Rhinolophus ferrumequinum: one gene and its partner. The protein of the gene in region 1 purifies or fractionates together with the protein of each later gene. This does not show direct contact. Links are inferred from orthologs where the notes say so. Each region holds a gene or a part of one and is shown in the gene's direction. Other genes may lie near its edges.

Evidence for each region.
Region 2: the proteins of CDK16 (region 1) and CCNY purify together in Homo sapiens (affinity purification with mass spectrometry; 3 studies listed by BioGRID and IntAct, counting the BioPlex papers as one, with this or other methods). This does not show direct contact. The link is inferred for Rhinolophus ferrumequinum from reciprocal best matches to the Homo sapiens genes CDK16 and CCNY.

What each region holds. Positions count from the first base shown.
Region 1 is NC_046284.1:86,675,215-86,690,048, reverse strand, and holds the start of CDK16 (cyclin-dependent kinase 16), read left to right. Parts: upstream 1-8,099; 5' UTR 8,100-8,114; coding exon 8,115-8,330; intron 8,331-8,573; coding exon 8,574-8,781; intron 8,782-9,357; coding exon 9,358-9,491; intron 9,492-9,593; coding exon 9,594-9,719; intron 9,720-9,830; coding exon 9,831-9,887; intron 9,888-9,983; coding exon 9,984-10,098; intron 10,099-10,762; coding exon 10,763-10,857; intron 10,858-10,955; coding exon 10,956-11,018; intron 11,019-11,267; coding exon 11,268-11,391; intron 11,392-11,573; coding exon 11,574-11,694; intron 11,695-11,804; coding exon 11,805-11,902; intron 11,903-11,985; coding exon 11,986-12,091; intron 12,092-12,155; coding exon 12,156-12,219; intron 12,220-12,356; coding exon 12,357-12,447; intron 12,448-13,596; coding exon 13,597-13,674; intron 13,675-13,759; coding exon of another isoform or gene 13,760-13,797; exon of another isoform or gene 13,798-14,057; coding exon 14,058-14,101; 3' UTR 14,102-14,834. Other genes in the region: UBA1 (ubiquitin-like modifier-activating enzyme 1), read left to right, coding at 3-138. UniProt on the Homo sapiens protein: Protein kinase that plays a role in vesicle-mediated transport processes and exocytosis. Regulates GH1 release by brain neurons. Phosphorylates NSF, and thereby regulates NSF oligomerization. Required for normal spermatogenesis.
Region 2 is NC_046288.1:5,981,237-5,996,691, forward strand, and holds the start of CCNY (cyclin-Y), read left to right. Parts: upstream 1-9,573; 5' UTR 9,574-9,704; coding exon 9,705-9,858; intron 9,859-15,455. UniProt on the Homo sapiens protein: Positive regulatory subunit of the cyclin-dependent kinases CDK14/PFTK1 and CDK16.

The sequences.
Region 1 (14,834 bases):
AGGATGACTGAGATCGTAAGCCGTGTGTCGAAGCGAAAGCTGGGCCGCCATGTGCGGGCGCTGGTGCTTGAGCTGTGCTGCAACGACGAGAGCGGCGAGGATGTTGAGGTCCCCTACGTACGATACACCATCCGCTGATCGCCATCCCTTCCCGTAGACTGGTCCCAGCCCCCGTCTTGAGACCCCCCTCCAGCCCAGGGCTCCCATTTGACCTCTGGCCGTAGCCCAGCAAGCCAAGCCTGGTGTTCCCTCCTCTTCCCCCTACTTGAACCCCTCTTGCCATTGCTTCCTATCTTGTTCGGAACCTAAATCCTAATAAAGAATTATTAACCCAGACGTGACATGCCCTGCTGGTTCCAGGGAAGGAAGGGGCTTCCTGGTTCAGATGGTAACCCAGAGGGCTTGGCCCCACCCCAGCTGCCAGTTTCCTGGGCAGAGAAAATGTGGGAATTGCCACCTTCTTCCTCCTGCCCTCCCTGCTTAGGAAGAAGTAGAGGCACCAGTGAGGCCATAGAGAGCAGCTACCTGGGTCCAATTTATTTGAGCTGAGTTACAGTTCCTCTTTTTTCACCTCCTTATTCCCTGCCATATTGATGTTGGGTCAACATGGCTTATATCCTTGGGGCAGATACCTTTCAGCCTGGCTCAAGGCACTCAGACCCTGGACATGCCATTACCATCATGATTCCCAATGCCAAAAATGCCTGTGATGCCCTTAGTTCAACTTCCCTGCTGCAGGGAGGCCTAAAGAGCTCTGCTGGACTGAGGAATGCCAGTGCCTGTGCATACTTCACAGTTTTTATGAAAATATTTAGCTGAGAACACCTGTAGAGGAAAAGCCCCTTTCCCGGCCCAACTTACCCCATGGCCTGGTCTGCCTGTCCTGAGGGACGCCAGAGAGGCAGCTCTGGGGGCTGTGGGTTGTGATTGGTTAGAGCAGGTAGTGGGAGCCTCACCTCAGACCCCAACAAGACTATGTTCCATCTTTAGTCTTGGCTGAGCACTCCAAACAGTTGAAAGCACCAGTCTGGCCACCTGGTGCCTGAGGATGCCACTTATACCTCTGTCACCCAGCCACTTAGACTCATCCCTTCACTCAAACCTGGGTCCTGGGAATAGCACAACCTATCCCTGAACCTGACCTGACACCCATCACAGCCTGTCCCCACATCCACTGCCTGCTGGGCCAGCTTCAGACCGCAGACACCATGTATGCCCTGGTCTACCTCCCTCATGACCTCATCCTTTCACACTTCTTTTTTATTTCCCACCAGGACACTGGACTGAGGTGCTTTATTTCTGGCATCTAGTTAGTGGTGATGCTAGCTGTCTAGGTTAAGTGCAGATTTTCCATTATTGCTGCTCTAGAGTACTCCAAACATTCCACACCTGTCTCCACTGTTTCCACCGTTGCAGCATCTGAGGCTTGCGCACACACTTACTTCCTCTGCCCCCTTTCTCCACTATTCCAGCTCCTTGCGTACTCTGTAGACACTTTGTTCACTGGATCTTACCCATTGACAGCTCCTGATTCCCCAGATACTTAGTTCCTTTCTTCACCACCACAGCTCCTGGATCCCCTTGCTACTTGATTCACACCTGACACCCTTCATCAAGAACCCATAATTCCTGCTTGCATTTTATTTCCCCAATATATGCCATTGTACTTCTCTGTCATGTTTGTCTACCCTTATAACACCATAACACCAGCAAGATAGGAGACCAGGGCTCTGGGCATGGGTTGGGTGGCTGCATTGAGCCCCCTGCACCTAGCAGGCACCAAGGACAGGATGGGACAAGGTGGTTTCCTCATGTCTCTGCCTAGGGCTATTTGCCATTCAGGCATTCAACAAACATTCGTTGAGTACGTGCTGTGTGCCAGGCACATCCTAGGCATTGGAAACCACAATGGATCAAAAAGGTCCCTGTCCTGGGTGGGGGTGGAGGGTTATGTTCTAGTGTAAGACCCAGAATAGACAACAAACAGCAAAGTGTATGTTGGAAGTTGATAGGTGCTATTCAAAGGTCTGTAGAGCTAAGTCGAGATCTGGAATGATGGGGCAGGTAGGCATTTTTCAAATGACAGTAAGAGAAATCGTGAAGAAGGTAGCATTGAAGCAAGAAAACATTGAAGTTTAGAAGGTAACATTGAAGCAAGAAAACATTGAAGTTTAGAAGGTAACATTGAAGCAAGAAAACTGAAGTGTAGAAGGTAACGTTGAAGCAAGAAAACATTGAAGTTTAGAAGGTAACATTGAAGCAAGAAAACTGAAGTGAAGAAGGTAACATTGAAGCAAGAAAACATTGAAGTTTAGAAGGTAACAATGAAGCAAGAAAACTGAAGTGAAGAAGGTAACATTGAAGCAAGAAAACATTGAAGTGAAGAAGGTAACATTGAAGCAAGAACGTGGAAGAAGTGGGTGAGGCCTGCGGGTATCTGGGGAAAGATCATTCCAGGCAAAGGGAACAGGAAGTGCAAATTCCCTGAGGTTGGATTGTACTTGCTTTGTTAGGGAACAGCTAGGAGACTAGTATGGCTGGAGCGGATTGAGAGGAAGGGTAGGAGATGAGCGATCAGACGAGTGATAGACATGATTGTCCAGACCGCGGTGGACTTCTTTGTCAAATACAGTATTTTCACTCCCATCGTGGGTAAATCGCCACTAGTATAAACCTTACTGAAAAACTAACTGGTGTGACGAAGGCTGCCATAAAGGGAAGCACGGAAGAGACGGGGGAGCTGGCTTTGGACTGGGGTGCAGTGTAAAGATGTCCCGGAAGGGCTGCTGAAGGCTGCGGCCATTTGAGCTGTGCTTGATGATACCGTAGTGTAGTTTTCTTGGCAGAGGGGCGAGGGATTAGGTCTGCGTGGCAGTGTTGACACACAACAGGCCCCCAATAAAACAAAACAAAACTGCAGAGCCAGGGGAGCCACGGAGGGCTGTGGCAGGCAGAAAAAGGTAGTTGAGAAGTGGCAGGAAAACCCAATTCAGGGTGCTTACCCAAAGCTCAAGTGAAGCGGAAAAGAGGCCGCGTCTCCTGCCCCAAAGTTCCAAGCATGCGCAGTAATGCCTCTAAAGGTCCGCCTTTCTTCTCAGTCTAGGCTCCACCCCGTGAGCATCCTAGGGAGTGGGCGGGGTTAAAGGCGGGACCAAAGTAGATTGAACGCTCTTTTGACCAATTACCTAGCGGGATATTCGGCCTCCGGTGACAGGAGCTCAGAACGAAAAGGAGGGCCCGCCCCCTGACGGTGAAAACCAATGAAAATCAGGCAGAGGCGTGGTATGGCGGTGAAATCACGCCTCTTCGGTCCAGCCACGCCCTTCATTCTTGCACTGCCTCACCCCAGGGAGCAAATCCGATTGGCTGGGTGACAACCTCAAAGGGCGGGGCCGGTTCACAGTGGGAATGAGCTAGCGGTGTGGGAGTGGGGGGGTGGGGGGAGAGCAGCAGGGCGGGGCTAGACTCTGCCCTACCTAAGGTGATAAAGGCCAATGATTCTCCCGGCCGCCTCTCCTAGAAAAGTCATCTCGCGAATCTTTAAAATTCCTGCCTACCGAAGCACCTCAAGGAACTAGGACTGACTGCCTCATCTTTTTCTTCCTTGCAAAAGTCCCGTTTGCCACCATGGGGGATGTACCAAGTGAGATCGAGTAGGGGGAGCGAGTGGTGACCGGTACGCTGGTTATTGGCTGCTGCCCACTTCGGCGCTAGCAAACTTCCAGCAAGATCGGAACTGAGTACTAAACAATATCTACACTTCCCTCTGGCGCCGTTCCAGGGCGGGCGCCACATTCCCTGGTGGGCGCGCAATGGCCGCGCCCCCTCCCGCTGCGGACGGGTCTTTTGGTACGTGCAGTCCGAGGTGAGTCCCCTCCCTCCACTTCACCCTGTCCAGCGCGTGCGTGCGCATGCGCGGAGCGCGGCGCGCGCGGCGGTTGGGTCGTTGGCAGTTCGGCCCTGGGATCCGCCGCGTCTCCACGGGCAGTCGGCTCTGAGTCGCGCGCTGCTGTGAGCTCTCGGATTCGAGCCGGCGCCGACGGGCCCGGGGGCGTCGCCCGCAGCGGCCAAGCTCATGGCCGACTGAGCGGGACGCCGCCTCCGCCTCAGCCACCGCCGCCGCCGCCGCCTCCTCCTCCTCAGCCGGCGGCGGCCCGGGCCCAGCAGCCATGGCCGAAGACTACTGGGACGGGCGCCTGCGGCGAACTGGAGGAGGAGAAGGAGGTCGCGCGGCCTCAACCCGGGCCGCCGCCCCAGGCGCCTCCGCGCCGTCCCCGCGGCGTTGAGGTTGTTCGCGCGCCCCCGCCGGTGAGTGCGTCCCCGAGACGTGGGGTGGAAGCTGCCCTTCCTCCTACAGAACCAACCCAGGCCCCGGGCGGTGCCCAGGGGTCTGGACTACACCGCTGGCATGGGCCCCCTCCCTCCAGCGAATTGCCCAGAATGCACCGGGGCCGGGGGGTCATTCAGGGCCTCCCTGACCTTGGCCCCGCCCTGGGCCGGGTCTGGGAGCTGGGGGTGGGAAGTACTGTGGGTGCTAATGGGGAGCGGGGTGATCCAAGGACCAGAGGGTGTGGAAATGGGTGGCAGGGTGGTGAAAGAGTCGAGATTTGCTAATGGGGGCCTGAGCTGTGGAGGGGTCGGAGCATGTGGTATAAGTCTTAACCGCTGTGTAAGGTTTGGGGCCCAGTATGTGCTAATGGGGGGCGAAGGCGGTGGAGGGACCCAAGCGTGTATAATAGGGGACAGGATGTAAGAGAAGTGTTGGGATATACAAATGGGGTTCTATTTGTAGAAGGGCCCTCTGTTAACGGGGGAGAAGGTGGTAGAGGTACCAGATGTGCATATAGGATCAGGGCTCTGAGGCCCTGTGTGTGGTGATGAGGGTCGGGATGGTGCTAATCCTGTGTATTTGTCCATGAGGGACCGCACTGTGTGAGGGTCTAGAGTGTGCTCAGGGAGGGCCGGGTAGCAGAAGAACTCGAGTGTTGAGAGTGTGCTAATGGGAGTCCTAGCTGTGGAGAGTGTGTGCATGTGGTAATAAAAGTCTGGGGAGTATGAGCCCCAATCTGTGCTAATAGGGGCAGAGTGGTGGGAGACCTGAGCCTGTGCTAATGGTTAGAGTTGTGGATATATGGGGGGGGAGGGGGCAGTGGTGACGAAGGTATCTTAGCACTGTAAGAAGTTCAGTGTATTCAGGATCAAGATGGTGTGAGATCAGTGTGTGTCCATGAGGACGGGATGCGAGATTCTAGGACGCGGTAAGGAGAGGCAGGATAATATATGAAGTTCGAGTAACTGCTAATGTGGGTTTAGAGCCATGGAGGTGCTCAAATGTGTGTCAGTGGGGGGAGAGTCAGATCAGTATGAGGTCTGGAATATATGCTAATGAGACTCAGAACATTGTGAAGACACTGTGTGCTTGTGTCCACGGGGGCGGGGGGGGGGGTTGGGATGTGTCGAGGTTACAGGGCGTGCTGATGGGCGATAGAACTGTGGAGGGTTTCTGTGTGCAATAAGAAGGCTCAGGGCTGTGAAGGGATCCAAGTGTGAACCAATAGGGGTCATAGCTGTGGACAAGTTGAAGCAAAGAGAAATAAGGAATAGGAATATGTGAAGGTCTAGGTGTGCTAAAGTGGATTAGCGCCCTGGATGGCTGAAGTGTGTGCTACTGGGATTCAGGCTCAATGGAGACCTGTGTGCACTAATGAGGGCCAGGCCGTCGTAGAACAGTGTGTTTGAGTGTCCCTGGGGATAGGGCTGAGTAAGGGCTCAGGGTGTGCTACTGGGGAGGCACTGTGAGGCCCAGTGGGTGCCAATAGGGTCAGGGTGAAGTGAAGGTTCAGCTTGTGCTGATGGAGGTGGCAGGGGCAGAGCAGCGGGAGGGCCAGCATGTGGGTTAATGGTGGTCATCGCGGTGGAGGGGTCTGCGCGTGGGCAAAAACAGTCCGGTCAGGGATCTACACGGTTCACTTTGTGTTAATGGGATTTAGGGCACGGGGAAAGTTCACTGAATGCTAATGTGGGTCAGCTGTAGAGGGTCCCAAGTGAGTGTTAATGGGGAGTGAGTGCTGTGGAGAAGCTAACAGGCAGCTGGGCCTGAGGGGGGCCCAAGAATGTGGTGGTGGTAAGAGTTAACTTAGAAGGTTCTGGTGCTGTGTTGGGACTTTGTGTGCTGATGGGAGTTAGAGATAAAGGGAAATTGCAAGTGCTGATAGCAGTTAAAATACAGAGAGGCCTTCTTGAGGGTCCAGTGTGTACTGAAGGAAGAGGACACTGAGGGACCGGTGTGTGCGTGTGGGGCCCAGACAGGCTGTGGATACCGTGTTCCTGTGGCAGTGAGTAGAGTGCCGTGACTGTCCTCACTGGTCAGTGTGGTGTGAGGTGGTGGGTGTCCTTCGGTATGCAAGTATTCAAGTTTTACTACGTATTAATGTTCAAGTGTGTCTGTTCACAGGGGCCCACCCAGGGCCCTCCTGCTGGGAGTGCTGCACGATACAAAGATTTTGTACCCCATCTTTCTAACATCCCCCCAAAAACTGTCCAGCCCTTGGAGTTTCCAGTTAGAGGTCATGGACCCATGGCTCCTTCTGGCTCCCTCATCATCATCCATCAAGCCCTACTTACAGTCTTCCCCCACACACCCCGAAGTCCCGCATTCCCTCCCTCAACAGACAGACTGGGTATCATACCGTACGGACATAAGAGAGTCTTTGGGGGCTGGTTATGCTTCACCCTCCTCAGCGTCAGGTCCAGTGTTCAGCCTCCTGGGTCAGGATTTTGTTGTTGTTTTCCTGAGTTCTCTGAATGGACCTCATCGTCTTTACTGAGGTTTTTCTACTAGACTGGCCCCTCTACCCCTCCTGAGGATGGTGAAGTCAGGCAGGCAGAAGCAGGGTGTGGGGACTGCTGGGTAAGCAGCTGATTTCAAGGTAACAGATGACCCACTTCTCTCCTCGAATCCAGCCCCAGCCACATCCTCGACCTCCTATCTAGCTTCACTTCCCTTGGGCCCAGGGCCATCTTAGGCCCTGCTGTGAGTCCAGATGGTTCCTGGGCCAGGTCTTACCCCCTCCTTGCTGGCCCAGAGCCCAGGAGGAAGCAGAAGACGGCCGGCCTAAGCCTTTGGTGGCCCCATTCCCTCCAGCAGCCCCATCTAGGTAGGTCATCTTCCTGCCGATGCCAGCGTCCCTGGGCCACCTTGTCAGGTTGTTCATGAGTAGCAGGGACTCACTCACCCTGGTGGAGGTTGGCCCTAGGCCCTCAGCCCCCTGATTCATTAATTTCTGCCATGAGCACTTTTTGAGCATCTACCCTGTGTCAGTCACTGTTCCAGGTCCTCAGGATATAACCGTGACCTAGACAGACAGAAATCTACCCTGGCGGAGCTGATCTTCTAGTTATGGCGGTGAGGAGACAGTAAAGAATAAAGAATCCAATAAGTAGATGGTGTCATTTCTGAGGAAGTGATGAGTTCTGGGGGATAATTGGCAAGGTAAGGGAGCTCAGGATGGTTGACATTTTAAATAAGGTTATTTGTGGAGGGTTATCTATGGAAAAAAGGTAATATTTGAGCAATGGCCTGAAGCGGGTGAGGGAGTGAGCTGTTTTTGAAACCTGAGGGAAGGGTGTTCCAGGTACTGGGAACAGCCAGTGCAAAGGCCCTGAGGTGGGACTGCTGGGTGTGATTGCAGACCGGCAACTAATACCACATTGATTAAGGGGGAGGTGAGGCCAGAGAGGTAATAGGGGTGAATGGAGTAAGAACGTGTGGGCCACATTGAGGACTGGGAAGTTTATTTGGGGTGGTAAGGGAGATGTGCATTCTCAAGTAGAAGAGAAATGTGACTTGCCTTGTAAAAAATATGGGTAGGCCCTATAGGTCTCAGCCTGACTGTACCTTTCCAGGAGTCCTGAGGACAGCTGGTGTGCACTGAGACCCACCCCACCCAGTCTGGGCAGGACCACCCCCCCGCACCCCTCACCTGGATAGACCAGTGGAACAGTCCACTGGTCACTGTGACAGTGGTTGCTAGGGGAGGTGGGAGGTCCTAGTGGCCACAGAGAGCAGTCTGCCTTGGCAGTTGGGGACAATGTGGGGCTGGTGCCAGCGGAACATGCCACCCTATGGGCATGCCCAGGGCCATGTCAGTGGTCCCGAGGTCCTGGGCGAGCCCCCCGCTCCACCCATGGCCAGGTCTATCACTGCCGCTGCACCTGAGAATACCTGCTGTGGAGCCCTCTGTTCCCACAGTGAGACTGCCCCCATAGAGACCAGCATGCCATCGGTTGGTCCCTTACCTTCAGCCAGCCACCCAAGCCTCAGTACCCAGGTAGGCTCCTTAGGATCAGGATCCCCAGGAGCTGGCCATAGGTGGGCAGGCACTGACAAGGGTCCCCATTCGTGCCAGGTATCCAGGAATCCTGAGTGGTTCCAGGGCTCCACAATGGTTGGGTGGACACCGACACAAGTTCGGTTCAGTGTGTTTCACTAGATTGTCATGGGTTTTAGGGGGCCCATGGTAGTCAGGCAGAGGCTAACATGGGACCTGTTCCCATCCGTACCCCCTGCTCAGGTCGCCATGGATCGGATGAAGAAGATCAAACGGCAGCTGTCAATGACACTCCGAGGGGGCCGAGGTGTAGACAAGACCAATGGTGCCCCTGAACAGATAGGCCTGGATGAGAGTGGTGGCGGCGGCGGCAGTGACCTTGGAGAGGCCCCCACCCGTGCCGCCCCTGGGGAACCTCGCTCTGGACGGGGACCACTCACCTCTGCACCAGGTAGGTCTACTGACCACTCTCATCCCTAGACTGGTCCCCAGGTGCTGCCTCCCTGTGGAGTTCCTCTTAGACTTGTGTTCTTTTCATTTTCTTTTATCCATTTTCTCTGTCTTCCCTGCCATCCTCTCAGTACCCTCTCTATCCATCTGTGCCCCTTTCGTTGGCTTTGTGCCCAGGCCTCAGGGTAAGGAAGGGTACCCTGCCTGCCAAAGCTGCCCCAAGCCTCCCTTTGCCCTTCTCCTGCACTCTGTAGTGGCCTCCTCAGGCCTCCTGGTGCCTGCCTGCCCTGGGCCTGCCTTCCAAGGGCCTTTGGCTACCTCTTCCTCTGCCTGCCCCCTGGCCTCAGGCCAGCCGGTGTCTCAGCTCACCCCTGGTACCAGGTGCTTCGCTAGGTGACTGTCCCCCCCTACCCCATTCAACCTATCCTGACCTGTCTGAACCTCCCTGGGCCTTGCCACCCTCTCCCTGAGCGCCGTATGCACACCTCTATGATGAGGGAATATATTCCATGGGGGAAGGGGTGTCTTGGGGCTCCTGACTCCACCTGGCCTGCCCTCCCCCTGTCCGCACCACCAGAGATTGTACACGAGGACTTGAAGATGGGGTCTGACGGGGAAAGTGACCAAGCTTCAGCCACGTCCTCGGATGAGGTGCAGTCGCCAGTGAGGGTGCGCATGCGCAACCATCCCCCGCGCAAGATCTCCACTGAGGTGCTGAACCCCCTGTCCGGGTGCTGATGGGACTGACAAATAGGGTTGGACCTGGGGAGGTGGAGCTCATGGTCCTCTTTCTCCTCTGTCTTAACCTGCTAGGACATCAACAAGCGCCTGTCACTACCAGCTGATATCCGGCTGCCCGAGGGCTACCTTGAGAAGCTGACCCTCAATAGCCCCATCTTCGACAAGCCCCTCAGTCGTCGCCTCCGCCGTGTCAGCCTGGTGAGCATCTTCTTTCCTCTCCTCTGTTCCCCTTCCTCCTCCTCTTCACCCTCCTCTCCTCCTAAGTCCCCTCCCCTGAGCCTGCTTCAACCTGCCTCTTTTATCCCACAGTCCGAGATTGGCTTTGGGAAACTGGAGACCTACATCAAGCTGGACAAGCTGGGCGAGGTGAGGGACAGCCAGGAGGCCCATGATGGAGATGGCTTCAGTGGGAACTCGCTGCAGCCTCGAGCTGCTTTTCTGTCTCTCCTCCTCACTCCCCAGGGTACCTATGCCACCGTCTACAAAGGCAAAAGCAAGCTCACAGACAACCTTGTGGCACTCAAGGAGATCAGACTGGAACACGAAGAGGGCGCACCCTGCACCGCCATCCGGGAAGGTACAGACATCCGGGAAGATGCGCTCCAGGCTTCCCGGGCTCTCCTCCTGGTGCACGCGCACACACACACCCACACACCCATAGTGAGATCAGACCCTGGGGGTTCTGGGACTTCCTCCTGACACTCGGGGCTTCCTGAGAAAGTACCCATTACCCGTACATCTAGGTAATAATCAACGTAACCAGGAATCTGTTCCTGTTTGGGCGAAAGAGGCAGATGAATTGGAAAGCAAGATGCTTGCTGTGGTGCTGAGAGCTTCCCTGAAAGTGCTCGACAGTTTACTTGGTGCAACAGTTCGAGTCAGAACATCACATGCATTGAATTCTAATTACATAGAAACTGAGTATGCAAACTCAGTTTCACGTGAAGCTGCAGGCCTTTGTACTGAGGATTGGAGCAAGGCCCCATGCCAGAAACCAAAAACTGGTTGTGAAAATGTAGTGTCACATAAACCTGGGGCTGCAATCCCAGGGTCTTTCGTGCTTTTAATTTCCACATCTGGAACGTGAGAACACACCTGCCTGGCATTGGGTGGGTTAGAGCCACCACCCCAAACTGCACAGGGAAAGGAGGAAACCCTGGGCCTGTCACTGTCTAGTCCTAGTCTCTGTCCTGAGGGTGGGTCCCTGACTCTTCCTCCTCCCACCCCCATGCTTCCTGCAGTATCCCTGCTCAAGGACCTCAAACATGCCAACATCGTCACGCTGCATGACATTATCCACACGGAGAAGTCCCTCACCCTTGTCTTTGAGTACCTGGTAAGGTTGGGTGGCAGTGGGTCCCAGGGGGAGGTGGGGAGATGGCCGGGAGCCAAAGAATGTGACCCTCTTTCCACTACCTGCTTTTCTTTCCTCAGGACAAAGACCTGAAACAGTACCTGGATGACTGTGGGAACATTATCAATATGCACAACGTGAAAGTAGGTGTGGGGCAGGAAGCAGGGGCACAGAGGGGCCCTACTCACCCACTCCACCCACAAATCTCCCAGAAATGACTTTTCCCATTTGGCTTTTCTGCTGGGAACCCTTGGAGGGCATTGGGACCCCGTCTTCTTTTGTGAGACAAGGCCGTGGGCTCAGTGCCTGTGTTTGGGAGGGGAAGCAGTGCCTGCTGGGAGTCAGGCTGCTGGATACTCGTTGACCTCTGCCTGTTGTTCCTGGGTCCCCAGCTGTTCCTGTTCCAGCTGCTCCGTGGCCTGGCCTACTGCCACCGGCAGAAGGTGCTACACCGAGACCTCAAGCCCCAGAACTTGCTCATCAACGAGAGAGGAGAGCTCAAGCTGGCCGACTTCGGTACCCCTGACCTCTTCCTTCTTCCCAATGATCCCCAGCCTTAGTCTCCTAACTTCTCCCTTCCCCATAGATAGACCACCTAGTCTCAGGTCCCTTCAGCCTTGCCAGGCTTTACTTAGGACACCCTCAATTTTAACTGCCCAGGACTTTAATTCCAGCTGTCCCTTCTCTCCACCTACCAGGCCTGGCCCGGGCCAAGTCAATTCCAACAAAAACCTACTCCAATGAGGTGGTGACACTGTGGTACCGGCCCCCCGACATCCTGCTCGGGTCCACGGACTACTCCACCCAGATTGACATGTGGTGAGTACAGGTGGAAGTGTGGCAGGGGCTGTGGTGAAGAAAGTAGCTTGGTCACAGTGGCCAATCAGCCAGCTGCCTCCCTATTCATTCACTGTGCCCTCCCTGCCCAGGGGTGTGGGCTGCATCTTCTATGAGATGGCCACGGGCCGGCCCCTCTTCCCCGGCTCCACGGTGGAGGAACAGCTGCATTTCATCTTCCGCATCTTAGGTGAGGAGGCACGAGCCCCAGGAGCTGTGGGCACATGCAGGGAGGCCCTGTGAGATGCTTAGGGTAGTGCCTCTTCCCGACAGGAACCCCAACTGAGGAGACATGGCCGGGCATCCTGTCCAACGAAGAGTTCAAGACATACAACTACCCTAAGTACCGCCCTGAGGCCCTTTTGAGCCACGCCCCCCGGTGAGGCTGGTGGGTGGCTGGATGGGTGTCAGAGGCCAGAGTGCCAAAGCTCAACTTAAAGCAGGTCCTCTTGTCTTTGCGGTAGACTTGACAGCGATGGGGCCGACCTACTTACCAAGCTGCTGCAGGTGAGACCACCTTCCTGGGCCAGCCTTGGGGGCAGGGGGAATTTCAGGTGTGGGGAAATGGGGAGCTCCAGGGGTAGGGAGGAAGAGAGAGGCCTGCTCTGTAAAAGTGCCAGTCCTACCTGCCCTCCTCCACTCAGTTTGAAGGTCGAAATCGGATCTCCGCGGAGGACGCCATGAAACACCCATTCTTCCTCAGTCTGGGGGAGCGGATCCACAAACTTCCTGACAGTGAGTGGTGCTGGGGAATGCACTAGCTGGTGGGCAGTGGGGAGCAGGACTGCTGCGAACAGCTGGGCAGGTTGGCTAGAGCTCTGGCTCAGCCACCTCTGAGGGGGTGCACCCTTGTTCCCATATGTGATGTGTTTATTACAAAAAAGTTACTTAAGTTTTCAGTTCCTTTTACCTCTCATGGAAATTGTCAAGTGTACATACAAATAGATAGAATATTACTTTATCTTTTTTAAAAGTAAACATTTCCTTGTAAATTATATACTGAGAAATGCACAGATCATAAGTATACTGCACAATGAGTGTTCACAGACTAAACACAGACATGACATGTGTTTACAGGTCAAGAAACTGGATGTAAGAGGTTCCCCTGAAGTGCCCTCTCGATTCTTTAGCTATTCCCCCCCACCGCCGCCCCAAGGGTTAACACTAGTTTGACTTCTAGTGGTGTGAATTTTTCCCTTGTACTTTGCAGAAATGGAATCAATCAGAGGGGGTGTTTTCTTTTTGCATCTAACTTTAAAACGTTAACATGGATATTTAAAAATTAAGTACATTTATATATTAGACCAAATAATAATAGGAGTCCCCAAGAACTACAACAGGTTATCAACTCATGGCCAATCTGGTCTTATCTATTAGGTTGATGCAAAAGTAATTGTGGTTTTTGCAATTATTTTTAACCTTTTAAACCACAATTACTTTTGCACCAACCTAATATATTCCCTCTGATTATTTTGAGTCAAATCCCAGACACATCATTCATTTATAAATTTCAGCATGTATACATAAAATATTTTTTTAAACATAACAACATCATTATGGCACCTAAAAAAAAAATTGGCCCACTTACCTCTCCACTGGACTAATATAAATCAAATCCCAAATACCATCCATCACCTAGACTTAACAGGTGGTAATTGCAATACCATTATTACACTTGATAAAATTAATAATGGTTTCTTGGTGTCATGTATTAGTCCATATTCCATTTTTCTTAGTTGTACCTGGTTTGTAGGATTATTTGACAGGTGAAAGTCAAGTCTCTCAAAGAAAAGGCAGTTTTTTCCCCCCAGTAGAGCCATATGGGAGGTGGTCCTGGATGGCCTTGTAGCTCATTCCCTACTTCTGTCTCTCCTCCACCCACAGCTACTTCCATATTTGCACTAAAGGAGATCCAGCTACAAAAGGAGGCCAGCCTTCGCTCTTCGTCGATGCCTGACTCAGGTAGGTGTGGCTCTTACCCTCTTCCCTGCCCCATCCACCTACCTGCTTGTCCACCAACAGCCATCCGCTCTGCTTTTGCCCACAGGCAGGCCAGCTTTCCGTGTGGTGGACACCGAGTTCTAAGCCGAGTTCTAAGCCACAGACCCAGGCCCCAGCAGGCAGCAGCTGGAGGGATGCCATACCCCTCACAGGGCAGCCCCCAACTGCATCCTCCCTGCTTGCCACCTGCCTGACTCATGCTCACCTGCCCACATGTCCCCTGCTGCCTGTCCAAACACCCGATCATTGGCCTGTCAACCCACCCATTGGCCTGTCTGCTGGGTGCTAACAAAGCTCTCAATGCTCCTTCGCCTGGTCTGTTTGTCTCTTTCTCTCTGTCTCAGTAGTTGCCGGCGGACAGCATGGCCGTGCCAGCCTCCCACATTGAGGCCAGGCCTGTACCCCTCCTCATCATGCCCTCCCCCAGGACCACTCACTACCCCTTGGCTAGCCAGGGGGCCAGAGCTAGCCCAGGCAGGGGTTCTCGACTCAGACAAGGTGTGGCGATGCCTTGGGTCTGAGACTGTCCCTGCCTGCTTTCCTGCCTGCCCCACCTGCCTCATGTTTTGTGGGCCGTTTGTTTGTTTGTTTGTTTGTTTCATTCATTGTTTTTTAATTATTTTAAATGAGGTTTTCATTTTTTAAATGCAATATCTCTGTATACAGACTGGCTGGGCCCCACCCCCTGCGTGTGGCCCTTCCACAGTATTTTGTGCAATGAAGCCCCACTCCCAGCCTTTCCAAGGCAGGGACACAGCCCCTATTCAAAACCCTGACCATCACCAGACCCTGGGGTCGGCTAAGGGAAAGCATGCCTCAACTACTCGCCTTCCGACCCCCGCCGGCCATCCCCAGCCACAGGGGTACCTGGGCCCTACTGGAGACTCTGGGAGATGGACAAGGTGGGGGCCCCCACTCTTTCCCTCTTGCAGTCCCACAGCTGGGGTCTCTTTCCTTCTCAGGGTCTCCCTAGCCCAGCCCTCCTGCTCCCATCCCACTCGGTGCTGTTGAGTAGGGGCCCTGCCGGGAACTGACCAACTCAGTGAGGAGCCATAGTGTATATGTGCACAGGCAGGGACAGGGGGGCAAAAGGGGGGGTTGTGCCCAGGCGTTAGCCCCTA
Region 2 (15,455 bases), on another chromosome or scaffold:
GGTCCTACAAAGCAGGTACTGGGAGCCTCTCCTCACCTAATTTAGGACACAGCTCTGCACTCCACATGCTGGGTTCCACTTTCTAGGTGGTGGCTGCTTAAAGGAATTGAGCCTGGTTTGCTGGGTTTGAGGTTCACTTGTTTCAGTCTCCCTCTGTACACAATGTATTTAAGTTCTGTCATCTTCAAGTTTAGACCTTTGGGAATACTTTTCAATGGGGAAGACAATGGTCTGCATTTTGGAGATCGACCTTTTAAGATGTTTTCGTAACTGAAAGGCACAGGTAGACTCAACACAATGCTATGCAAATTCCCTGTACTCAGTTACTCAGCGTAGGGCCCTGTGGAGGGGCAGTGAGGTGGCGTGGCCCTCAAAACGACGGAAACTCAGTTACTGGACAGAAGGCGTCTTAGCTTAAGGAGCAGCACAGCTAATATAATTTTACAGTAGGTTAAGTGGAGAATAACATGTTCTGTGCCTAAAGGCAAGAAATTGTACCACTTGCTGCCTTTCAGTCTAAGAGCTAGAATTCTGAACAGCATCCAAATTCCCAGGTTACACTTTTTTGCATTAGAAACCACTGCTTCCATGCGTATCCCAGCCTTACAGCGATGGATGAGGTGTCCTCCAACTTGGATTCTCTTCTGTCACGAGCATGGATTCTACTTTACAATATTTGCTTGTTTTAGCAAATCACAGCGGTTTAGACAAAGACTAGGGGAGGGGGAAAAGCATTGGAGGTGAGAGGGTTTAGTCAAACTATTCTTTTTTTGAAGAGAGAAATAGGAAATGTGTTATTGCTTGTGGAAAAGGTAAAGATTTCAAAAAAAAAAATGAACAGAGGAAAACAAAACCAACTAAGTTTTGGATTTTGGGTATAACCATTGTTAACACAGTCTATTTGTGAATATCCCTAAAGGCATCTCTTTACATGTATATTCATAAGAATATGCAGTTTTTCGTAAGTAGGATCAGTCTGCTTTTTCTCTCAACTATATTTCATGGCTGTGTATAAGTATAGATGTATACACATCTTTATTTTTATGACTACATAGAATTCCATTGTATGTAGCAGAATTTACTTAACTAGTCATTACTTCATGGACATTTAGTTTGCATTCAATTTTTCACTATTACAAATTAAATGGCACTTCTTAGCATATTTTGCCCAAATAATTTAACATCTGTAAATATTAATATTCATTTCAAGTACTTTAAAATCAGTTATATAGACTTGTAAGTGAAGAAACATGTTAGTAAGAGTGGAAGTGCTTTTATTTCCTGAGAAGTCCTTTTTTCCCCCTACTCCATTCACACCTTTAGAATATGGAAGATAGGTGGCCTAAATCCTGTTCCTCTTTTCTATTAGCACTTTATACATAGAAGTGTCCCAAGGCAAAGTTGTGAACTATACGTTTTGGGAGCAGGTACAATGAGTCTTCCCTGACTGATCTCACCGTTTTTCACCCTATTACCTGTGCACTTGGTGTCCAGCATTTTCCCAAGTGCCTCGGGCCCTTCACGACAGCTCCTGGCTGGATCCCTTCCCAGAGCAGGTCTTGTTCTCTCACTGCTCCTTTTTCTTTAACCCCTCAGTTTTATGAGTGAAGATGCTGCCCTATGTTCTACCATCCTTTTAGGGCCTCGAGAAGTGATCTTTCTGGCCAAAGAGATATACTAACTGGTACTATGCTATTAGAGAACAGGTAACATTTTAATCTGTTATAGGCCTGCTTATCTGCAATTGGGCTGATTTCTGGGCTCACTTATATATATATTTCCAGAGTGATTTGGAAAAAGTGGAACCAGAATGACTGTTTGAAAATCCCTTCTGTCGGTAGTTAATCTTAAGAAGTGGTTTGAAATAAACAATTTTTTTTCTTTTGCAAACAAGTGTTACTTTTTTCTCTTAAAGTTTCCAACAGGAAGCTAAATAATGAATTCTTGACAGAACGTAATTGCTGTTATTTTCTTTAGATGCTATGAAAAGTTATAATGATGTGCATGTTCTGATAGAATGAATGACAATATTTGAAGTGAATAGCTGGCAGACAGGGTTTCTCTGTACCATTGCCCTGGTACCATTGCCTTTTGGGGCGTATGATTCCTGTTGTGGAGGCTGACCTGTGCACGGTAGAATGTTTAGCATCTCTGGCTTCTAAGCATTAGATGCAGCAGCATCCCCTCTCCAGAAGTGACAATAAAAAAAAAATGTCTCCTGACATGAGCAAATTGCCCTGGGATTCAGAACTACCGATTTGTACAAACTGGCAAAATCTTTCAGCTGAATGAATATGGGTTATTAGTATGTATGTGTTGCATACACACGCATGCACAGACATGCATAATCCCATACACAGCATTTTTCTTCTGGAGGATTTGGGTGCTTTTAGGTTAAGGGAAAAAAAAAGACATAAAGCACGGCAACCTAAGCTGTGGAATTGTGACTTCTGCCTCTGAAGTAGATGCCTTAAAGAATTACACTTCCCTTCAGTTTTTCTTTCTAATGCAGTCAGAGTTAGGCTCTAAGAAGCACAACTCCATTTCAAAAGGGCTGTTTTCCTAGTTAATTCAAGTCTAGAGAAAGCATTAAGGTAATAAATGCTATTTATTGCCAGCAGATCTCTATGAATATCAAATGCTTCACAACGCAAAGAATGAGGAAAATATTTTCTCAAAAGTTTCTCCACGTAATAAAAGGGAATTATCAGTGAAAACTCAACTTTCCACAGTCATCACTAACACCTCACCCCTCTCCACTCCCCAGTTCATTCCCTGTCCTTCTCTTGCCCTACATAAAGGAAGGAAAAATACCAGAAAACTGAGGGGCTAGAAAAAGGAGCATGTTCAAGTACCGGCCCACGTCTTACTCAGGTGTCAGGCCCTGTGGCGAGCATGAGAGGAGTGAGGGAGGCGTGGGTGCCCTTTAGGAGCTTACAGTGTAATCGGAACGATGAAATAAATGAACACAACAAAAATAGGAAGAGATAAATGGTTTTAGATAAAACATCTGTGAGTTTATTATCGCCAGCATGAAGGATTGAGAAAAACCAGTGCTTGTGCTGGGCCTTGAAGGGTAAGTAGGATTAAAAACTTGGTGTTGAGGGCAGGGAAGGAGGAAGAGTGTTTTAGGGGGGAAGGTCACATGAGTAAAATGAGAGTGAGTTGTGAGCAGTTCTGATCAGCTGGACAGAGGTGACTTGAAGGCCAGGCAGAGTGGCATTCTAAAAACAGTAAGAAACTATTGACAGTGACAGGCCTGCCCACTGCAGTGGGATCTACCTAGCTGCTCTTGGGGTCCCCAGGACTATTTGAATGTTGAATTATCGCTGCAGAGTGTTTTGAGTTCCTTGGGGGTTAAAAACACGAGGCAGAGACAGTAAGTTAACACAAGTCTTTAAGTATCCTTGTTTTACTTTTAAAACGCTGTCGGGTTTTGTCATGTTGGGAACAGGGTCTGAACTGAAGCCAGTTGACTAAGGTAAAGGTAGGTGAAAGTACGGATCATGGGAGACATTCAATAAATCCCCTACCAGCACCACGAACGCCAGTCATCCTGGACTAGAAAGACTTGTTGCTGTGCTGCGAAGAGGATAAGGCGGCAGAAACAACCTTCCCACCCCTTTCCAAATAGTCAGTGAGGTCATGAAAAGAAAAATTTATTTGAACAGGAAAATCAATTTCCAGGATCTTGAGCATATAGACCAGGGTAGATTGATGGTTTCCTCCCAGGAACCTTTGGCTTCAGTTTGGGGAATACCGAAGGAGTAGTGCTATGTTAAAATAGTGTAGCGGGCATTTAATTCTTTCAATTTCCATGGGGACTAATCTGCCTTTTGGAAGAACTTTCTTGTGCCACCAAAATTCTACCTTGGCTCCAGAGCCTGCCTACTGCATCTTTCTGTTCCAACCTGGATTGTCCTATGAGGAGCCAAGTGAATATGACACTCCACAGTTCTAGGTCAGAGTCCCTATTATCTGGGGGTCAATTAGTGAAAGTTGTCAACATGAATACGTAAATCTCTATCAAAGAATAGTATCAAATACTGGCCAGATCAGGATTAGGTTTGGCTGCATATAACTTGGGAGTTCAAAATAACGGTGACTTATAAAAACATACCGTGTTTCCCCAAAAATAAGACCTAACCGGAAAATAAGCCCTAGTATGTTTTTTCAGGGTGACATCCCCTGAACATAAGCCCTAATGTGTCTTTTGGAGCACAAATTAATGTAAGACCCAGTCTTATTTTCGGGGAAACACGGTAGTTTCTCTCATGTAAAAGAAGAGTACAGGGACATTGTCTTAGTTCATGGCTTCCATCTTCAAGGTCACCTGGTATTCAAAAATGCATGCTCGAATTCCAGCCATCATGTCCACATTGCAGGAAGCAGAAAAGAGGAAGCTTCTCCAGAGAACTTTCCTGGAAGATTCCACTCACATCTCATTGGCCCAACTTAGCCATGTGGCCAGCTGTTGTCTTTGAGGCAGGCATATTGCTGTTCCTCACAAAATGGAGACCCTGTATTAAGGGAGATGGAGACACTGGGGAGGAAAGCAGCAGCCTCTCCAGTCTGACCTATGCCTGACCCTGCTGAAATGCTGGAATTTGCCTAATCAAAAGTACATCTCAGTTCTCAGAGATTACCCATACACTTACTATTTCTGTTCATGGTGATCAAAGAGGGATAAAGAAGATAGAGTTTGGCAAAAGAGGGATTGGACTTCTTAAGGCTTTAGCCTGGCGATACCTGGTGAATTCTCAGTGGTGAGTTAGATAATTCCGTTTCCAAGTGGGTCTGTGCCCAGATACCCAGAGACTATGGCTATCTCCTGCTTCATTATTTACTTATAAACTAAGGTTTTACTCATAGACAGGAAATATGTAGCATAAGTGTTAGGTTCTTTCTTTTCTTTGGCGGGGGGTGGAAGGGGAATAGGACATTTTTTTAATTGGCGAACAGTGTGTACTTCCAGGACTTTTCCAAGTCAAGTTGTTGTCCTTTCAATCTTAGTTGTGGAGGGCGCAGCTCAGCTCCAGTTCCAGTTGCCATTGTTAGCTGCTGCGCTAGTTGCAGGGGGCGCAGCCCACCTTCCCTTGCGGGAGTTGAGGAGTCCAACCAGCAACCTTGTGGTTGAGAGCCCGCGCTCCAACCAACTGAGCCATCTGGCCACCGGGGAGCTGAGTGGCAGCTCATTGACTTCATTCTAGTTGCGGAGGGCGCAGCTCGTTGGCCCTCCATGTGGGAATCAAACCGGCAGCCCCGTTGCCCAGAGCTCACGCTCTAACCGACTGAGCCACCTGTCCACCCCTAAGTGTTAGGGTCTCATCCTCCTTTCCTCATGGCAGTATTTTTCCATTAAACTGGAACATGACCTCAGAATCCTTCTCAACAGTGTTCCTGGCAGTTACACTGGTCCAAAGGATGTGTCGTTGGTGTTTAAATCTACCTGCCATCTTTAATTGCTTGTGAGGATTTTCAATCTGACAGATTCTCTGGGTATAATTCTTTAATTTGTAGCTATAAATCTCTCATAGATATATCCACAGGTGATAAAGGCATATATTTATAGGTAGCAGCCTTGTCATTTTTCAGATTTTACCACTAAGTGAATGCAATCAACTCAAATTACTGGACATGTTCTAAACATGTTCTTTTGACTGTTTTACTGGACTATGATTTCTCTAGGCCAAGAATTATATCTTATCCATTTTTGTATCCCCATGGTACCTGGCTCAGTGTACTTTTAAATGTTTTTATCAATAAATGAATCACGTATAATTGGTCAAGATCAAGTGACTATCAAAGTAAATACTTCCCCATAACTGGTTACATTGTGGACTGCTTACCACAGAGCACTACTAACAGGAGGCCTTATCTGGAGGGGAAGTCATTAGAAAAAAAGAGGGTGACAGGAGCAGCACTGGTGGTACAACAAAGGGTCTTGGTTATTCCAGAACTGCTTTACAAATGTTTGAGTAACTGACACAGGAAACTGGCTACCTGGTGACAAAGAAAGGACAGATATACTCTGAGCAGGGTTTTTTTTCCTGAGATTCTACCCATTTCCCTTCTTTTCACCAAAGGTCCATCCAGGTCCTAGGTTCACTTGGCTCAGTGTTTTATGTGTTCTAGGTGATTCAGAGTTGTGCAAATGACAGATTCATATTTCATGGATATAGGTGTGGCTGAAGTAAGACTGTACAAGGTAGCCTATTCTGATTTGTTTTAATAAATATTATAATTATTTAATACTCTTACCATTTATGTTTTAAATATTGTGGTTCCACTGAAAATTTTGTTGAGAAAAAAGCTACTACTGCTAAAAAAATGTGAAGAGCACTGCCTTAGCTAGCTCACCCAAGTCCCCCATTTACCTCTTTATACTGACCAAATTCTTAAACATTAATAATGGAGAAAGATGAAGGGAAACAATTACCAAATGTTTCTTTCTGCTCAAAGAGCATGGTGGGTTCTGATCAGATCTAAGTTGATGTTTTCTAAGAAGGCTGAAAAACTGTCTTAAGGATGGGGCCTTGGGTTGCAACGCTCACCTTCCCTGTCCCGCTCCAGCGCCAATCCTGGGCTAGATCTACCCTATTGAAGAAGTGTCCGCACATTTAGATTCCTAAGTCAGAGTTGGCTAAATTCCTGCATAACGCTTTGCCCTATAGTTGCTGACTGTCTACTTACTCTGGTCAGAAGGGTTAGGCCCCAGAAATAACAAGGCTCCCCTCTCTTTTGTCTTCTTCAAGTCTAGAACTAGTCCTTAGCAGTCACTCCCAGCTCCCCTCAGCAAGAGAACAGAAGAGGAGAGAAGCAACACTAGAGTCTCTTTTCCATTCAAAACTTTTGCAGATTTCTTCTCTCATTACTCCAATCTGCTTCCCTGCTTCCATTGGTAGTGGTAGCTAGAGGTGGGGGCAGGAGGTTAAGCTGGATGCAACCCAGATGGGACCTTATGGACTCTAATTAGAACCAAGGTGCAAACCCCAGGTAAGCCATTTCTCAGTAGTTTTACCTTAGACAGGTTTAATTATCAGAATTAAAGTGTCTTTATTTGTAAAATGGGGGATAACAACATAGGCTTAGATGTAAAAAATACTTAGTACAATGCTTGGCTTCTAGCGGGTATTCAATACATGACACCTTTCATTATCATCTTGGCATCACATTGCTTCTGCAACCTTTCCTAAAGTGTCACTGTGTCAAGCAGGAACCATCTTTGCCTGGAGGAGTTGGAAGTGCGTGTGTGTGGGGGTGGGGTGTGGGGGCGTGGGGTGGTGGTTGGCACTCAGGTAAATCACTGGTCAAGATTTAGCACTTATCTTTCCTCCCCACGCCTGTTGACCAAAAGTCATACTTCTGAATAAGCCCTAAAGGAAATACAGTGGGAATGTCAGAGAATAGGTAGGTGTGATGGGGGAAGGCGGGGAGTGCACAGAACAGTCCCTACAGGCCAGTGACTATCCCATCCTTTGGCAAGAGTGTGTGGCTACCTTGAGCTCCAGTCATGTCTTCCCCTGCCTCCAGATGCTATTCCCAGTTAATGCTGCCCGGTGATGGCTCTAGAACAGGAAGAATGAGAGCCACGCTGTCTCTTCAGTGCTATTTGTTTTCCCATTTTGAGCCCTTCAAAGCATGTCATTAATTAATTAATATTATAAATTTTATGATGTAACCTATAATGTACCTAAGTGAATATGCCATACACATATGGCATATTCAGTATTGGATTACAAAGCAGCAATCAGAACTGACAGTATAGTAACCCCTTTCCCAAGTTTCAGCCATTTACCCACATATTGTAGCCCTGAAAATCTGAATATACACATTCACTGACTTGTAGTTATGTCCCAAACTTTCCTGGGAGGCAAGAGGGTCCGAACTGCATTAATAAAAAGTATTAATTTTTCTTGTTGCTATCTCCCCACCTCTTCCCAGCTGTAAGTCTTCAGAACTTCCCTTTTGCATTTCCTTTCTCATCTTGTCAGCATCAGCACTTGGCTGCCATTTTTTTCTCAAGGACATCGCCACTTATCCCGACTGTCGTTAATCTAGTTACCATCGTGAACCTTTTTAAAAATATGGTCTAATAAATGTATAAACATTACCAAGAGACAGAGGAGCAGCACAAGTTATAAGAAAAGGCTGGATATCAAAAATTAAACGAAATCACGTTTATAAAGCCTTTGGCAAGATGTACACATTGCTGATACCAGATAAATATTACTTCCCATACTTTTCTTCCCTGTTAGTTCCTGTCTGTCACTAACTAGTACTGAGATCTGTGGCAGGCACTTCAATTCTCTGGGCCTCAATTTCTTTATATTTTAAAAATTAAGAGGGTTGTACCAAGTTTTTTCGGGTTCAAAAACATTTTTTCCCCAGTCTCTCCTCATGACTCCTTCATTGACTATTTGGAAAAGGGTGGGAAGGTTATTTCTGCCACCTATACACTTCCCAAGACAGGTAACAGGTAAACGGACTAGTGAAGGCTGGTGTTGGGGGCCTGGGAAAGGAATGGGAACCCACCATCTCCCACAGCCAGGCAGTGTCACTTACCTTTATCTTATTTGAGTGGCCTCAGTTCAGATTGTTTCCCCTGCACAAAACCCAACAGCATTTTACAAGTAAACAAGGATAGCTGATGGTAAGTTACCTGTCTACCTCACGTTAACCTCCAAGGAACTCAAAACACTGCAGCTAATTCGACATTAAAACAGCCCAGGGCACCCTAAGATTTATTTCTGGGCTTAAAACAAGGTCACTATCAAGTCCTCCGCAAAGCTCAAAATAGAAGAACTCCCAAATAAAGGTCCAGCTTCCTTTTAAAAGCTTAAGAAGAAAGAAAAGAAAAAAGGCCCCCCCCCCCCCAATTCCTGTCGCCCAAGAGTGGCCAGCTCAGCCTCGGGGACTCCCAGGCCGCACCCCACCCTCCTCGGTCTCGCGGCCCTGAGGACCCGGCCGCCACACAACACTCGTCCCAGCGTCAGGCCCGGGGAGGCAAGGCCGGAGGCCGGAGAGGAAGGGCATCGGGACGTGGAGCGCCCACGACTTGGTCGCGGCTCCGGAGCCCGCATGAGGCGCGCCCGCGGCACCGACCCCACACACGCGCGCGGCGCGGGCCCACACCTCCCTCCCGGCCGCGATCTGCTTCCAGGGCAGCGGGAAGGGGCGGCGACGGGGCGGCGACAGGGCGGGGCGGGCGACGAGCAACCTCCGGGCCGTACCGCGCCTCCCCGCGCCGGGCCGAGGGCCGCGCCCGCCCACGCCCGCTGCCCGTAGCCCACGATCGCTAACGCGGACACGCGTCTCAGCTGCTTGAACCGGAACCTCTTGCCGAGGCCGTCGCCGCCGCCGGGACCCGGGCGCCGATCGGGAAGCGCGGGGAGGCGGCCTGCGCGGCGCCCGCCATGGCCGCGGCGGGGTGAGGTAGGCGCGGCGGCTGCAGTCGCGCGGACCGGGCGCTCCTCCGCCGCGGACAAGCCCGCCGGGACAGGGCGGCGCGGAGGCCGAGGGATCCGCCCGCCGCCCGCTTGTCGCCGCCCCGCCTGCAGCCCATGGCGAGGCCCCGCCGCCGCCGCCGCTGCTGACCGGGCGGGCCACGCTTCCGTCTGTCCCCGGCGGCGGGCGGGCCTCCGCTCCACGCCGCGCCGGGCCCCGGGAGCCAGGCGAGCGCCGCTGGAGTCGGGCCGCCGAAGATGGGGAACACTACCTCGTGCTGCGTGTCGTCCAGCCCCAAGCTCCGGAGGAATGCCCACTCCCGGCTGGAGTCCTACCGGCCTGACACGGACCTGAGCCGCGAGGATACGGGCTGCAACCTGCAGCACATCAGCGACCGGGAGAACATAGACGGTGAGCGGCGGGCCCGGGGCGGGGGGGGACCCGCACCCCGCCCGCGTCCGCGGGGCCCGGACTGCACACCCGCGTATGCCAGCCAGACTGCTTGGTTCTCTGATCCCGGCTCTGGGACCCGGGACCCGAGAGCTCGGGGCCTCCTGGCCTGTCCCACGAGGGAGTCGGGGGGACTCTGCCGGCCGGGGCTCGGGTACCGCAGGCGAAGAGGTGCAGGTGGCCAGGTGACAGGAGCTGGCCCTTGTCAGCCCTTGTCAGCAGACGTGAAGGGGCAGCGCTGGGCGGAGGCGGCCAAAAGCCCGGGGTTCCAGGCACGGTCTAGTCCCAACCAACTTATGCGCGACAAGGGTGAGCCCGTTCGCCCTTTAAAAGGGGAAGGGAAAGAAAGAATGGACGATCTTTGGCATAACTGGAGTGAATTCTCATTTTGGAGTCACTGTTTCTACCTAGAGTTGGAGAACAGGGTTGGCCGCTGTCAGCTCCTCGGAAACTTACAAATTTACCCCATTTGGCTGTTCTACAGCAGCATTTCCTTTAAAAACTAAAACCAAAAGCAAAACAAAAAGGATTTGGGGGTGGATGGGGTGATTGAGGGATTGGAATCAAATAGGTTCACCTGAATGCTTACAAAAATTTCTTAAGAGTATCATTAGAATGGTTTGGAAACTGCTTTGGGTTAAGTTGCCCGGTTTTTGCTTGGGGCTGAATTACACTCCCGTGAATTTCTGATTGATCTTAGTGACTTTCTCTTTGGACTAGTGTTAAGACTGATCACTACACCTAGTAATGTTTATTTTATTGATATCTTTATTAGTACTGTATTATCGATAAACTACGTGGCTTAATATCTACAGATGGGTAGCTTATGCATCATGCTTAATACAGTTTCTGTAATTTTCAATTAAGAAATTTGAAGTACATTTTTATGACACCTTGATTTTTCTTTTGTAACCTAGAAATCTTCTCACAGTTGATCCGATTGAACTAATGTGAAAAAATTTCTTGTATGAATGAATTGACAACTCTGTCATAATTTATTCTTGTCAACTTTAGGATGGAAACTTTAGTGTGGAAAGCCAAATTTACACTCTCCTGAAGGAAAGGGTTTTCTCGATTGTTGGCCACCTTTAATCTCCCTTTAGTAGTAATGTCATCTCTTTAGGACAGCAACTTTATTAAATGAGTATCACATATAAACAGACTAATACATCTGGTTTATAGTAGGTGCTTAGTAAGTTAGGGTTCCACGTGACATTTCTAGTGTTGTTATTTTAAACTTCCATTATATTAACCCACTCGTTAGATGTCTTGAACTACAGCCATACTTTGTTTTTAAATTTATTAATTTAAAGGCATCTAGAAGGATATTAAGACCAGGTATGTCTTGATCACTACTATGGTCCCAAACACCTATCTGAAAGAAGTGTCTAGAATATAATAAAGACTTAATAAGCATTGTATTTTAAAGGAATGAATCAGTGAATGAGTTAATTATAGAAAGCCATTACCCAGTCCTATACAATGTTGATAGGCAAAAACACTTGACAATAATTTCTCCTTTATGTTGTGCAGTAATAATGGATAGAGGCTTTATGTTTTAAATAATGGATTAAAAAATACAAACAGAAGGAAGGTTCACATTTCTTAGAGCCAGGCTGCATACTGTTATTGACCATAGTAGGGAAAAAACAAAGTAATTGTAATCAGCTATTTGTCAGTAAAGCTTACGAGGATTTTGTCAGAGAAAAATAGAATAGTGTAGTGTGCTCTTTCATTTGATAAAAATCTAAATTTGGTCGTCATTCACTTTTGAGAAAACATTTGGAAGACCACCAACTCTTGTGTTGGAGGTTCAGGACAGTGTAAGAGACTAGGTCAGGTTAAGGAGATTTCTAATCTAGGCTGTAGTATCCTCTCACCCCGAAGCCCTGTTTGGATGATGATGCTACTTTAAACTCAGAAATATTTAAACAATGTTCTTTCTGTTTTCCACGTTGAATAAATAACACTTCTGGGATTTACCTATCCAGCAGTTCTTAACACTGGTTTCAGTTAGCCCAGAAATCTAGGACTGGGCCTTGGCATTAGTATGTTTCAAGCTCTCCAGATAGTTCTAGGATGCAACCAGAATTGAGAATTGCTGCTCTTGTTTAGGGGCATTTTCCATAGAAATTCATTCAGTGTCAGAGGCTGGAGAAGAGAACAGGTAAGTTAAATAGGATGTAGATGTATATCTATATTTTAACTTTGGAGTTGTATTATTGTTAGATGATTAGTAAACATTTTAAAACTACATCTCAATTCTTGATTCTAGTGTGGTATATAACAAAAGCTGAAGGCTGAAGCACCAAATTTCTGAAAGACATTCCAGACAACTAAGAATGGAAAGGTTCAGAAAAGTTTGTGGGCTTCTGTACTAGGTTATTTTCTTTAAACCACAGAGAATGAGGTATGTACCCAAATTTTTCCTGGCCAGACACACAATGGGTAATATTTGTCCCCGGATTTCACTGACTGAGAGGGCAGTTAGGCTTCCATGAGACCTACCCGCAACTTGCCCTGTCTTTGTACTCAGTGTCCCTTAGTGTTAGGTTATTCATGTTTTTGGAATTTATATTAGACTCATCAGCTCCCCAGGCAATATTCCTCATAAAATTATTACGAGATTGTGAAATAACAAAAACACCGAACAACAATAATACTAATAATTGCAACCCTTATATATTGCATACTCTGTGTCAGATGCTGGTCTAAGTGCTTGACATCTATTCATTAATTTAGTACTTACAGGAACCTTGTGGGTAATATTATTCTTACTTTAAGACAAAGAAATGAGACAGAGAGAGGAGAAATGACGTGTTCAAAGTCATACAGCTAGCAAATGACCAATGGAAGTTTCCCATTGTTGCTTGACTAGCCATTAAGCATTAACTAGTGTTGGGTTGCCTTCTGGGGGAGGCTGTCTCTCATTGCAATCGTGTCCATATAGCCATAGTTTCTCTGAGAAGGCACTTCATCTCTCTGCAACAGACTGGACTTCCCTGAGTAGATTATTTCTGAGAGAGGAGAAGAAGGCAGATGGACTAAAGAGAATTTAAAATTCGATGAGACCAAACAAATCAGGATATTTGTAATATCTTGTACCCTAGTGTCAGTTGGGGAGTTAGGCCTCAGAATGATTGGTAGCAACTTTATCCTTTGTAGATTAACTGTTATCCTTGACAATCCAGTATTTCCCTCATTCCCTATCCAACCTACTAGGAAAGCATGCCTCTGTCTTCAAAATATACCCAGAGTCTGACCGCTTCTTAAAACTTTTCCTGCTGCTCTTCTGACTTAAGCAGCTATCATCATGGCCCACCTAACTGGTCTCCCTGCTTCCACTCTTGCCCCCTACATTCTGTTCTCAGTACAGCAGCTATAATGAGATCCTTTGTAAAACTTAACACATTACTCTTCTTCTCAAAAACTTCAGTGACTCCTTATTTCACACTGGGTAAAAGTCCTACGGTGGACACCAATCCCCTTTGTGATCTGTCTGCCTCACTCACTCACTCACTCACTCACTCACTCACTCACTCACTCGCTGGCTCTTTCCAACCACACTGGCCTCCTTCAGGGACCTTCCTTGAACATACCAGACACACTCTTGCCCCAGGGCCTTTCCTCTGTCTCTGCCTGGAATGCTCTACTCCGTGTATTCTCTTGGCTAAGACCCTCATTGTCTGCAGTCTTGGTTCACGTCTCACCTTGTCAGCGAGGCCTTCCTGATCACCCCGTTTAACGTCACTCCTGCTACCCCATCGGCAATCCTGATAGACGTTCTCTACACTACTGTTTCTTTATTGCACATCACCTGTGATACATTGTATAAGTATGTACATATATAATAATAACTATTGCTACTTACCAGCGTGGAATTTACAATAGAACGTTGTTTTGTTCATTGATGTAACCATGTGCCTAGAATTGTGTCTGACATCTTGAAGACACTCTATAAATATTTGTTGAATGAATGAGCGAAACCAGCCCCTTAAGATCAGTGTCAGAGCTTCATCATGTGTACTTATTGTGTGAGAGGAAGCAGGTGGAAGTAGAGAATGCACAAGACTTGTAATCATGAAAGTAGGGTGGATGTGAAACTTTCTGGTTTTGTTTGCATTTTATCCTGAGAGGTAGCAGATAGGGTGAAGTCCTGAAAATGAAATGGAAGAAAGATTTTAAAGCATGATAAAAGAAAAAAAAAAAATAAACACCGAAACTGAATGGAAACTGTGGCTAATGGAAATCTGTTTAACAATATGCTATGTTTAGTCTTTTTTCCTTGTCTCTTCAGATGAATGGCTTTAGCTGTGGTCTTATGTATCCTTAAGGATCAAAATGCGGCTAAAATGCTGGGCAAACCAAAAAGTACTAGATGAACATATGCAATTATGAACATAACCACTCATGTTGATGTTTTTGTATTAAACACGAACTGTGTTTATATAGTAAATGGTGTTTGAACTTCTCAGATCCAGAGAAGCTAGGAGCCTGTGGGGCTCATCCTGTGTGTGGGAAGCAGTACCAGAAAAACACTGTGACCACAGTGGCGACACAAAGGAGCAATTTAAAATCGAACTACCTGTTGTAGTATTAACTTGAAGTGCTGCTCTTGGTTTCTTAGGGTATCTGCAACCTACAATACTTAACCTCATCTCTTCGGCATTCTTTTACTTGAGTGTCAGTCCCACTTTGATATTTCCAGTCTGATGGGCAAAACCGTACCCATGGACTTTTCATTCCAGACTAAAGCTTTATTAGCTACGCTGCCTGCAAGATGCGTGAAGACACCGACCAAGCATGGACCGGCGGTGTTTTGGCAGTGTAGAGAGGGTTTGCGGAGAGAGCCATGCTTCAAAGCATGATGGTAACTGCATGACCTCCTCTCCACTTCCTTACCTTGTTTTCCTCTCATTTACGATCAGGGAGCCATTCGTTCCATACTCTCATTTTACAGATAAGGATATGGAATGTTGGAGAGGTGCAGTCTCTCGCCCAGGTCATGCAGATCCTGGACAAGGGCACGTAGTAGAATTTTCTGTGTGTTAACTTTGGGCTGAGACCTCTGTTAATTATTGACCTATATTATCTTTTTTAATGTTCACATTGTTCTCCCTGTTTTACAGGAGAGGAAAATGGAGCCTTAATGGTTAAGAAATTTGCCCAAGTTTCCATAGCTAGTTTGTGGCAGAGTTGGGGTTCAGTCTACCATCACTTGCTAGAAGTCCACACCTCAGTTGCCCTGCTAATTAGATCTGTGTCTAGAATCCCACCCATGCCTGCTTTGTTTTAAGAGATCCAGTCATTGCCTATATGCATCTGGTTAGCAATTCTTTGTGGTTAGGATTTTTACTTTTCTGCCTGCTTCTTGAGAGGAGTGAAGATTAAATAATTTTGTGGAATGGTAGATTTTCTCACCCTTTTCTACAAAGCTGATTGTCTCTATCATCTTACGGAGATGAATTGCTTTCACATTTCTGGTTAGATGAAACTAACACAAAGATCAAATCCATTCCTACCCAGAAAAAGGGCAGAACCAAAAGGAAAAAAAGGAC